3 linked regions of the Kluyveromyces lactis genome follow. The protein of the gene in region 2 interacts with the protein of the main gene of each other region in a pairwise test. Links are inferred from orthologs where the notes say so. Each region holds a gene or a part of one and is shown on either strand. Other genes may lie near its edges. The genes, in order: ABP1, RVS167 and NVJ2.

Region 1 (3,831 bases), on a different chromosome or scaffold from region 2:
GAGCACGATTCCCCTATTAGAATCAATAGGTTTGAATCTCATGACATGCCTGGAAGTAAAGGAAATGCCTCGTTCGTGATGAAATGTAAATTTTGTGGCAATGAGTGTTCAATAAACTTGACCAGGACTAAGGAAGACTTATATAATTTAGATGAAGAATCTAATTTCGAATTGATTGAACAGGGTAAAAAGGACAGAAAGAAGGTTGGCTTACGTTCTGTTCCTGTGGAAAAAGCTGTTTGGCTCGAGCTTGACTGCAGAGGATGTGAAGTAACTAAATTTGAACCTGCTGACACTATTTTTGTAGCTGAACTAGTTTCGAAGAAGGAAATGGAGTTTCAGTTTGAAGACGACGAAAACGAATGGTATGATTATGATGACGATGCTGGAGAAGAAGTGAGCGTAGTAGATATGAACTTTGAAATTGTAAAAGGCAAATAAGTAGACTTTTGTTTAGTTTACTTTTGTACTTTATTTCTTTAACATTATTTACTTGTAAAGTATACATGATATATTCATTTCAAAGTCCCACCAACTTATAACATCATCATTTATTAACAATGATAAAGTTAGAGTAGTGGTAATTTATTGGATCATTCCTCTAAGTTGACGTAATTACTTGGGAATAGACCCTTTTCACCTGATGATTCAAGTTCACCCAACCACCAATCATCATCGACAAATTGAATATTAATGATTCTTTCATTTTCTTCAAAAGTCAATTCATTATCTTCGCCGGCTTCGTAATCATATTCAGCAATAGCTGATGGTCCGGATTCTTTCTTTCCAGGTTTGGATGCTCTTGGTGCTGGAGATGGAGGAGTATTTTGAGACTTAGAAAATGCTCTTTCATCATCATCTTCTTCGTCCTCGTCACTTTCCGGTGGGGGTGGAACATTTCTCCTAGTTGGTAGAGAAGGAGCTTCTTCCTCTTCCTCTTCCTCTTCCTCTTCCTCTTCCTCTTGCTCCTCCTCTTCCTCCTCATCGCTTTCGGGTGGGGGAGGAACATTTCTTCTCACAGGCAACGAAGGAGCTGGAGTTTCTTCCTCTTCTTCTTGTTCCTCCTCATCACTACTCCAGTCATCGTTTTGTTCCTTCTTTTGATCATGCAGACCTGGTAGTGGTTGGCCAAACTTGTTCTGTTTCTTGGTCCAGCTGTCAGATGAGTTGATCTTAGAAGCTTGAGGTCTAGATCTGCTAGAGTCACTTGGTTTTATGATAGGAATTTCCTTAGTTTTAATTGATTCAAATTTTGATCTGACCTCTTCAATCTCTTCTTCAGCTTCTTCTTCTTCGTTAGAATCTGAGAACTCTTCTCTTTGGGTCTTGTTCTCTAAATTAGATGGTTTCTTTTGTCCCTTCTTTTCAGCCCAAAGTTGAGCTGGTGACTTTTCATTCTTGAAACCCTTGATCACCTTATCGTCGCTATCGTTTCCTGATGATTGAGCTGAGGAAGAACTCTTTGGTCCCAAGACTTTGTTGTATTCTGCATCCCTCTTTAGCTTGGATTCTTGCTTTAATTTAGCAATCTCAGATTGAGGATCAATCTTTTTGTCGTAATTAGGCCCCGAAACAACTAGACGGGGATCTTCTTTACTGTTTTCTTCAGCAATCACTTTTTGTAGATCAACTTTACCAATTGGTTTCCAGGAAGAAGAATTTGGTTCTAGTGGTTTCTTGTCGAAATCACGTTCTTCCAACTCTGGTTCACCCCATTCATCGTCCTTCTTACCTCTGCTCTTCTCAGTCTTTGGGGGAGAAACGGATCTTCTTGATGGGAACGATGGTGTAGGTTCCTTTTGCTCAGATTGTCTGGATGAAACACTGACTGGTTTCTTGGCTGTCTTGGCAGCAGAGGAAATTGGCTTCTTGGAGGCCGGTGTTTGTTGTTGAATTGAATAACGGGCACCAGCGGAGTTGCTGATTTTCATTAACAATTCAGATTCATCTAAGTCATCCTCATCTCTGGCGGTAACCTGAACATGGTAGGTCTTAAACACTTGATTAGAGATCACACCGAAATTCTGAGCAAATGAAGCTCTGGTTTTCAATGGAGCGGAATCTGGACACCAACCAATTAAAATCAACTTCTGAACATCAGAACCTGGTGGAGAAACACGAGCTAAACCGTATTGAACCTTGGTATCATCGAAACTTTGCAAAAACTCGCTGAAAGAAGTACCGACTAGTTCAGGTTCGTATTGTTTCTTAGAATTTGGCGAGATGATCAACCAAGTAGTATCTGGATCACCCTTCACAACCTTCAGGTACTCGGCCTCAATGGCACGCGAGTGTGTAGTAGTGTCAATTGGTTCAAATGCCATCGTAATTGCTATGCCAGACTGATAACCCTATAATAACTTAAGATCAATAACAACAAGAAAGGAACGTAATGCACCTCAAATTTGTCTGGTAAATTGGCAAAAACACACACTAATTCAATTGACTTTGCAGAATTCTTGTCTTAAGATATTTCTATATTTGTTTAAATATATATAAAGGTAGGATGGTACAATCATTCCACCAAACAGCAGTGGATTGATTCATGTTTAATAATTTAACCTAGTTCAAATATTGCATTCATGGCGAATAGGAGACAATTGTCAAGATTTTATTTCATAGGTTACCCGGAATATGAACTGTGGTTTTAGTTTCGAGAAATTCGTGCAGATTTCATTTAGAGAAACAGCGGTTGACATGAAACCGGGTAATATTTAGTACCATGAACAGCGGTCAGAGTAGAGAACGATATTGCAAAACTGTTATTAGCTTTATGAAGAGTTTTCTTATCAAGGAATCAATAACTATTTTTTGGAATAAAGCTGTGATGATGTTTCTGTTGGAACAGGAAATTAACTGTCGGTGAGAATTTCAAATTGCTCGATGTTCTATTAATTATTCTCCGGCCAGATTTCAGCTTATTTTCCACTACGAAACGGACCTTATGCTGAAATCACTGTTGAGTTAAACATTGGTTATAATGATGGGGGCCTTACCACAATAACTGATCCCGGAACGACTTTCCACGTTCATGATTCTCATATATGCATGTTAGGAAACTATGCCATCGCAACTCTGAGAAAGGTACTGGTAGACAAGCTCCGAAATCGATAATATCGATACCGGCAGGTTTGTATTCACTGACGCACTATTTGAAAAATAGGCCTTCTTCGAGATTATACAAGAAATTATCGAACCCAAGGACAAGATTCAGATCGAGTAAATATCATATATGGTCAAAATACGATTTAATACAAGCCTTCATCGATTTATGGGCGTATATGTAATGGCAACAAATTTATTTCTACCGGTGATGGTTCCTTTTCCCCCGCGGCTGATGACGATGGTGGGGTTACAGACGAACTTGGTTATTCGAAACCATCTACTACTTTTTCTCCACTGCAAAAAGAACTTGTATCCGATTTTGAAGCTGTTAAATTGGCTTTTCCCCGTTCCTTTGGCCTTTATGACGCAAGATGTAAATAAAAATGTCCGAAACTTGTCACTTAGCAGTTATCACCGAAGTTGCATATTGAGTGGAGCATTAGAATCCTATTTCGGCAAGAAAATATCACAGAAAATGGGGGGGAGGACGGATTAAGGCTTTTCAAACAAACTATACAACGAAGCTATGTATAAGGACAATCAATTGTCGCTAACTGACGGTCAGTTGCCCATTTGAGTGTCGTTTCATAAGAAAATACATGTGTGGAATTTGTATCACGTGACTATGTCTATGCGATACCTTCCTAAATTGTGGGTGTTAGCCAAAACATTTGCAAGCATTCGTAACTAATTTAGAATCTTAACCGTGTTCAAAGAGCTTTCAAC
Region 2 (3,430 bases):
TTTATTATGTTTGAAACTAAATAAAGTTCATCAATGAAAAATGAGCCAAAAACTGAAAAAGGATCGAGAGGGCTTCTAGAAAGAGACGTGCAAGGAGGAAGTGGGATAGTGATATCCAAAGTATTTTGAAGGGAGGGGGCTTTCAGGCTCTGGTTGTGTGCACTGCAGTGGGAGCAGTTGTGATGGTGGGAGCTAATTGTTGCATTGAAATACATAGCTGGTTTTAAGTATATATAGAGACGTATCTCTTTCTGTTCCTGCAGTAAGGCTTAGTGTACTTTCTCATGGAATTCTTTTCCATCTTACCTGCTGTGTGCTTGGAAACCAGTGTGATTTTAGTGGCTGGCTCTGCTACTGGTGATGTGTAGAAATATAGGGGCATGTAGACAGGGGTTCTGACGAACCCCTTTCGTCTCCATGAAGCAATGTCTGACTATTGCCAGGTGACCAAATATCGTCAATTCCGTCGATAGTGATGTGCATTCTGTATCCTTTAAAAGCTATGGGGCATTCTTGAATTAAACAAGGTTAGAGTATATAGTAACTACAGGCTAGGAGAGCTTTTCTTTTGCTTTATTATTTTTTTCAAGTTCAGTCTATACACAGCAGAAAGGGAATGGAAAGTGACCAAGAGATTAGTTTTCTTTTGTTTTCATTATTGTTTCGATAGTTCGACGTAGTTCCCAGGGAATACACCTTGGACGCCATTGTAGACACCGACCCACCATCCTGCTGCATCGGAACGATCCACGACTTGGATTATGGCACCAGCAGGGAACGTCAAATCACCTTCGGCTTGGGCCGTGTAATCGTATAAAGCGGTACATGTCTCCACTCCTGCACTAGTGGGAGGAGTGTATGATGCCTGGGTCGCAGTGGTGGGCACCGAATTGTATCCTGCGATACCAGCGGCACCTGCAACACCTCCGATTGGATACTGTTGTTGCTGTTGCGGCTGTTGTAGTTTTGAGTCATAGCCCATCTGTTGTGGCTGTTCAGGCTGACCGTATGTTTGGCCGTATGCGGGTGGGCTCATTGGACTTCCAGGACTTGAGTCGTCAGTAGCACCATATCTTCTTCTGGTTAAATCTAGTTTGGCCTTCGAGTATCCCAGCTTGAAATGAGTAATGGTTAGTGCATCTGTTTGCTCTTCAATGTTGCCTCTTTTAGCTTGGAATGCCTCCAAGATGTCAGTATCCAGGTCAAAGTATGGGATCTTCATGTCTTGGAACCTGTTGTATAAGGTGTAGAAGATATTCAATTGCATGTAGTAGAATGAAACAAATAATGGTTTCACGAACTCTGATTCCAATTGGAAAAGTATAGGTAATTCAGTTTTCAACATATCGTTGTAGTAGTCGTATTCTTGTTGCATTACGGCGACTTGAGCCTCGGCTTTATATTTTTTCTCCTCATCCTTTGGCGTTGGATTCTGTTTTTGTTCATATTTGTTGTACGTGTTCAAGCTCCTATCCAAATCTAGCTTTTTATGGTTTCTCTTGGTGGACATCTTTCTAATGTAATTAATAATGTTCAAAAGCTCTTGTGCTGGTTTAACAATTTTCTCGTCAATCAGAGTTAGATCAGGCTTTAAAGTAGCTTGCAACTCAGAAACAATTGCACTGTACTGCTCACTCGCTTCAATACCTTCTGGATTGTCTTCTGGCACAGCGGCATTGGGATCGGACATCTTACCACTAATTGGCTTGAAAATTTCCGACATTGCCTTAGAAAATCCAATTTGATGCTCTAGCATACCGTTCACGGCATTGAAATATCTCTTTGACTCATCGCTCAACTTCTTCGTTTCCGATTCCAATTCCTTGAAACGACGATCAGCATCCTCATAAACAGGATCAACAGTCTGCTGACCCATGTTCAGTTTTTGCCTAAAAGACTGGGGTGCTCTGGCGACAGCTTTTGTAAAACCTTTGAACGACATGACTCTCTAGGGGGAAAATATATTGATTGTTATTTGCTTTCTTATTCGCTGTATACGCTCTAAACTTCAAAACTTAACGCTTTTTATCTGTTTAAATTCACGTTCTTCGTGTTTTTTATTTGAGTGCTCTCTCTCTTTGCCCTTATAATAAATTAACTTTCTTTCCCTCGACAAAGACGCTTGTTTGTCCTTCGAAAGATTAATTTAAGTTCAGATTTGCTCTAACAGACAACTCGTTGACACGCTGATTAGATATATATACCGCTTCAGTTGCCTTTCAAGTTTGCCCCTTTTACATGCCCTTCCAAAGTGATGAAATTGAAATTGTCCAAAGTTTGAATTTTTTTGAAATTGTATTGTGCATCGGCAAAAGCGTACAGAAAGGAAAAAGGCTTGGCTTAGTTCATCGGAAATTGGCCCAATGCATTTGAGCAGTAGGCTTGTGAAAAGTTAAGGGGATGGTCTATACTGTTATTAACGCCCATTGGTTCTCCTATTGGTTGTAATTTGAGTGCGTATCACTCAAATATGCTGCAAGCTTGACCTTGTTTTTTTTTAGGCCTGCTGACTCTAGGCTAATAGTCAATGTACCCTTCGGTTGAGAATAGTTGTGGAGCAAGGTACATAAAGTGCAGCAAGATTCTTGGTAGGATATAAGTTAGGTATATTTTTACATAACGGTTGTTTCGTTATGGATATTACAAGTAGTTTCGAGAAGTTACTGTCATTGGAGATGTTGTTTGTCCTCTTTTCATTTTAATGTCTTAATATAGTAAATGACACTTTAAATTACCGAATGGGATTTAAACCATTTTCTGACTCCAAGGCTCGAACAAAGATTTACAAACTTTAAACACTTGCTGTAATATCCCACCGATCTGTTCATAGAGCGGCGTTCTTACAATCCGTTGGACAGCAAAATCCAGCATATATTCTCTTAACCTGGTACCGTATTATGGTGGACGATATTGTACGATCTTCCTCACCGCAGCGAGATAGCAGTGTCGAAGATGTGTATTCGGATTTGTACTCCACTTTCTCTCAGATGACCACCACCACTGCAAATGATATTGAACAACGACCATACCCATTCACATGGAGGACGGGTATTATGTTTGTTAGTTCGACAATTGGTGGGATGCTTTTCGGTTACGATACTGGTGTAATTTCTGGGGTTTTAATAGCAATGAATCCAAAGGATTTAAACTTTCATAGTTTGGAAATTTGGCAAAAGGAAATAATCACTTCTATAACATGTGCTGGTTCATTCATAGGATCGATAATAGCATTCCCCTTGGCTGACAGATGCGGTAGGAAACACACGTTAACGGTTTGTTGCATCATTTTTGCTGCCTCATCGATGCTAATGGCAGTTTCTTACACTTTCGAGATGTTAGTCACCGGTAGGCTGGTCGTTGGTATAGCCGTTGGCATCGCAGCTCAATGCATTCCAATATATTTAACGGAAATTTCACCGGCAAAGATAAG
Region 3 (4,120 bases), on a different chromosome or scaffold from region 2:
ACTGTGAAAATATCCTTTTGGATGTCTTGACAGGAAGAGTCTTGCATGTTGATTTTGACTGTCTTTTCGAGAAGGGTAAAAAGCTTCCTGTTCCAGAAATTGTTCCATTCAGATTGACGCAAAATATTACTGACGCATTTGGTATTATTGGAACGGAGGGTACTTTCAAAAAGTCAAGTGAAGTTACTCTAAGAGTCATGAGAAACAATGAAATAGGTCTTGTAAACATAATTGAAACTATTATGTATGACAGGAAAATCGATGAGTCAATACAAAACGCCCTTAAAGTTCTTCGAGACAAAATTAGAGGCATTGATGCCCGTGATGGACTGGCTTTGAGTGTTAGTGGGCAAGTGGAAGCTCTCACTCAAGAATCATGTTCGGTGGAAAATCTAAGTAAAATGTATATCGGTTGGTTGCCTTTTTGGTAATTATTCCTTAAAATCTATGTTACAATTTTCTACAAAGTTTCTAGCGTGGAGGCAATGGAGGAGGAGGGCGTTTTTTCCGAACCTGTGCGTTGATTTCCGGGATCATGTTCTCTGCTTCCTCGAGAATATCTGAAGATGTGATGGAATGCGGATTCAGGTTTTCATTATTTGTAAATGAGTAGCTCATCTCATGTCTCCTATAAACATCTGGAGATGTCGGGGAGTAAGACCCAGATGTTGACCTGGCTCTTGTTCTGTTAACAAACATCTCGGCACGATGAGACTCTGAAGTGTGATGTGAAGTCTCTTGTTTTGAATTATCAATGGATGAATTTTTGCTTCTAGGAACTCTTCTATTGGTTATCATTTCTGGAGTTGTTGGCTTTTCAGTTGTTTTAAAAGATGTCTCTACTTTCAAAGAAGATGCAGCATCAGGAATTGAAGCTTCGTTCTCTAGTAATTCAGATTTTTCGGCTACTTTAGTACTAATGACCCCAACTTGGTCTTCTGTACCCTCTGGTTCATCTGGATGATGAAGTTCTTCGTCACTATTCAACGATTCTTTCACAGTGACTACTTGCTCTTTATACCATCTTCCGATCTTTTTCATACCTGTTTGCAAGTACCTTTTGGTTGCGTTTGAGTTTGTTGAATCAACTGAAGACCTAGATCTTATAGATACATTTGAATCATCGTTACTTTTATTTTTCAGGAATGATCGAGTACTATCCGTAGACGTTTGTGGCTGATCTGTGTTGTACGATTCGTTAATGGTGCTTTCACTTTCTTCGACGGTTGGTGAGTCAACAGCAGAGTTAGTCGACTGCCGTTCGGCTAAGTTGGTGTTCGATATGTCATTGTTCTCGCGAACAGAAGACCCTGTGTTAAATTGTCGCTCACTTTTGATATATTCAAAGTCTTCGGTATAACTTGTATCCTTTTTTTGTTTCGTTGATTCCCAGATACCTCCTCTGTACAATTCAGATGGCGTTTTGTAAAATACCATATCATCCATGTAAGGTAACACAATTGATTCTTTAATTGCTTCTTTGAATTTGGATTTAATCATATTAGTTACCATGTTGTTAGACAACTGCCTAGTACTAACCACCGGTTCGACATCGATGTCCAATAATGGTTCAGTTTGGAACGCATACCAAAGCCTGTTTGTTGGAGGTGGCTTGATGAGAATTACTATTGGACCCTCCACTTTTTTAACGGTAATGGAAAGCTTTATATCCATTTCTCGCTTTTTGAACCTTGAACCAAGGTTGATATTCATCTTAGTAGCTATAATCAAATGCAAATGTCCGGTGTACAAAAAATCAAAGGAAACCCTTGTTTGTCCTTCTGGAGTTAAATCAAGAAGTTTTGGATTTGATATCACTGGGGCACTATTCCCCACGGTAACTTTCTCTATACTGAAATCATCCAATAATCCCGGTTTATTGATTTTCTTCAACTTCTTATAGATCCGTTCTCTTACTGCATTAGACAACGTTTCTGTTTGTTGTAATGATAAGAAAAGTCTCCCAATGAGTGCATTGAACCACTGGGAAGAATGCTGCCCTTCAGTAGAGTTCAAAGTCTGTATCAAATAAAGCATATCCTTAGTCTTGAAATGAGCAGTTTGAGCAGCATATTCTGCAGAAAGAGCTTTCTCAACTTCGAAGTGAGAAGAGTTTACCGGACTTCTTGGACCTTTCTCCATCTTTGTAGCCTGTATCAAAGCGAAGTACCAATCTTCTTTATCTGTGTTTAAATCCAAGTATATGAAGAATTGATCTGAGGGACCACCTCTACGAAATTGAAGCCGATTAGACTGATCCATATATGCGGTATGTTTCTTCCAAATGGAGATGCATGTTTTCTTGGTAAACAAAGAACCATCTGGAATTGGTGTATCGTCTTGAGGAGAGACGGTTCGAGGCCATATTGAAATAAAGGCATCACTTAAAACAATAACTTGCTGCGGTCCTGCCTCAGGTGAGAAATCTTTATAAAGAAACAAATTGCCATGTTTCAAGACAGCGTAGAATTTGTCCTTCTTCTTCAACTTATCCCTAGTTCTTTGCTGCTCTGCTGACGGAGGTGTGGTGTTAGACTCTGCGTCATCAGTATTCTCAGTTTGGTTATCAAGATCAGTTTGATGAGGATAAAACTGCCTCGTAATATGAAGGTAACCCTGCTTCTTGGTAGCAACACCTTTCAATTCATTCAAATCACCTGCTTTGAAACTAGAATCCACATCAACGACCAGCTTATCGTTTTCTTCATTTTCGACATCTTTCTTGGGTGAACTAGTCAGATAGAACACTATAGCAATAGTAATCGGAATGAACGTTAAACCACCGAACACATATACAAAAATGAAACCAGCTAAAGATGTCATCTTTACTGAAGAATTGGTGCCCTGAACGATGGTGAGAGATTGGTTAATGTTGAATTTCGTTGACAATTGACTCTATACTTCCCCTTCTTTAACTTAATTTGATCGATATACAGCACCTTTGAAACGGGTTTTTGCTTTCTGAAATTTAAAAGGTAAATAGACCTTAACGTTAAAAGAAGTGACAAAGAGGCTTGAACAGAAGAGGATTAACATTTACACTTACGGTAGAGGACCAAGAGCTACTTAAGTTAGACTTATGGAAGATACTACCAGGAAATTTTTAACAAGAGTACGAGTATATGCTAAACAAGATGAATTTTTTATGATATATTCTTTCTAAATCAGAGTCATTAAATCAGTTTTTTCGTTTGTGTGTTCATTGAGATACAGTACTTAAACTGCACTCTTAGACAGTGTGAATATAAGAAAATCATCACGAAAAGAAGAATATAGTTTAGTCAGTTTTAGTTAACTTTTATTCGTTGGTAGGCATGCACATGAAAGGATCGCCTGTTTTAATAAAGAACAAGATGTTCTCTTTCATTGTGCATGGGGCATCAGCCGATGCCCGCCCGGTACCTCGCATAAAAAGAGTGCATGAGGAAAAAGTATCAACATCAGATATCTGGCGACCATTCATCAATTCTCCCGTCACCGACATCCTCAAAATTTTGTACACAGAGAACGCGACTACTGTTTCTAAAGAAAACAGTGATGATGGGATACTAAATATGTCCGCCCGGTCGAAAACAAAAGTCATCAGTTGTTGAACTTTTTTATTTCAATTACATGGAGCAACTCGTTGATGCAAAGAGAATGAAGGAAGTTGAACTCCCCGGATTATTTTCTGTTCAGAGGTCGTAACCCCTACCAGGGACTGATACAAGATTTCAGAAAGGCGTTCCAGCATTTCTTAAGTCTTATTTCATCTTAGGTGCTCATACAAGGCTGAAACTTAACGATAAAAAGAGATTGTCGACCCGTAGTTATACAACTATTCAGTCGGAACAACTGGTAATATTCTCACATTAATCACCGCAAACAGAAAATAAAAAGGGAAACAGAACACATATTTGTTCTCACTTTCTTCATTCGCTGTCCGCCTGGACAACAACTGCATTCAATCAGAGAAACTCCCACAATTTGAAAAGAAAGCCACAAAAGTTCTCCCATGCCATTCTCTACGTACACGGCTTCCTTGACCTAGCCCAATCAGGTCATGGTAAAGCGTCAGCTTTCCTCAGCTTCGCTTTGTCTTCTTTAATTAATAATGTAATATATGGGTTAAAGAATGAAA

Evidence for each region.
Region 1: the proteins of RVS167 (region 2) and ABP1 interact in binary tests that used the Saccharomyces cerevisiae proteins (3 or more experiments, as listed by UniProt). The link is inferred for Kluyveromyces lactis from reciprocal best matches to the Saccharomyces cerevisiae genes RVS167 and ABP1.
Region 3: the proteins of RVS167 (region 2) and NVJ2 interact in binary tests that used the Saccharomyces cerevisiae proteins (3 or more experiments, as listed by UniProt). The link is inferred for Kluyveromyces lactis from reciprocal best matches to the Saccharomyces cerevisiae genes RVS167 and NVJ2.

What each region holds. Positions count from the first base shown.
Region 1 is NC_006042.1:943,908-947,738, forward strand, and holds ABP1 (Abp1p), read right to left. Parts: upstream 2,325-3,831; coding exon 594-2,324; downstream 1-593. Other genes in the region: KLLA0_F10153g (uncharacterized protein), read left to right, coding at 1-441; KLLA0_F10198g (uncharacterized protein), read left to right, coding at 3,045-3,287. UniProt on the Saccharomyces cerevisiae protein: Regulates ARP2/3 complex-mediated actin assembly. Recruits ARP2/3 complex to sides of preexisting actin filaments, which may promote nucleation or stabilization of filament branches. Binds to actin filaments, but not actin monomers.
Region 2 is NC_006041.1:280,055-283,484, reverse strand, and holds RVS167 (amphiphysin), read right to left. Parts: upstream 1,943-3,430; coding exon 656-1,942; downstream 1-655. Other genes in the region: CIN10 (Cin10p), read left to right, coding at 2,898-3,430. UniProt on the Saccharomyces cerevisiae protein: Component of a cytoskeletal structure that is required for the formation of endocytic vesicles at the plasma membrane level.
Region 3 is NC_006039.1:1,364,191-1,368,310, reverse strand, and holds NVJ2 (Nvj2p), read right to left. Parts: upstream 2,824-4,120; coding exon 472-2,823; downstream 1-471. Other genes in the region: protein kinase MEC1, read left to right, coding at 1-431. UniProt on the Saccharomyces cerevisiae protein: During endoplasmic reticulum (ER) stress or when cellular ceramide levels increase, induces contacts between the ER and medial-Golgi complex to facilitate non-vesicular transport of ceramides from the ER to the Golgi complex where they are converted to complex sphingolipids, preventing toxic ceramide accumulation.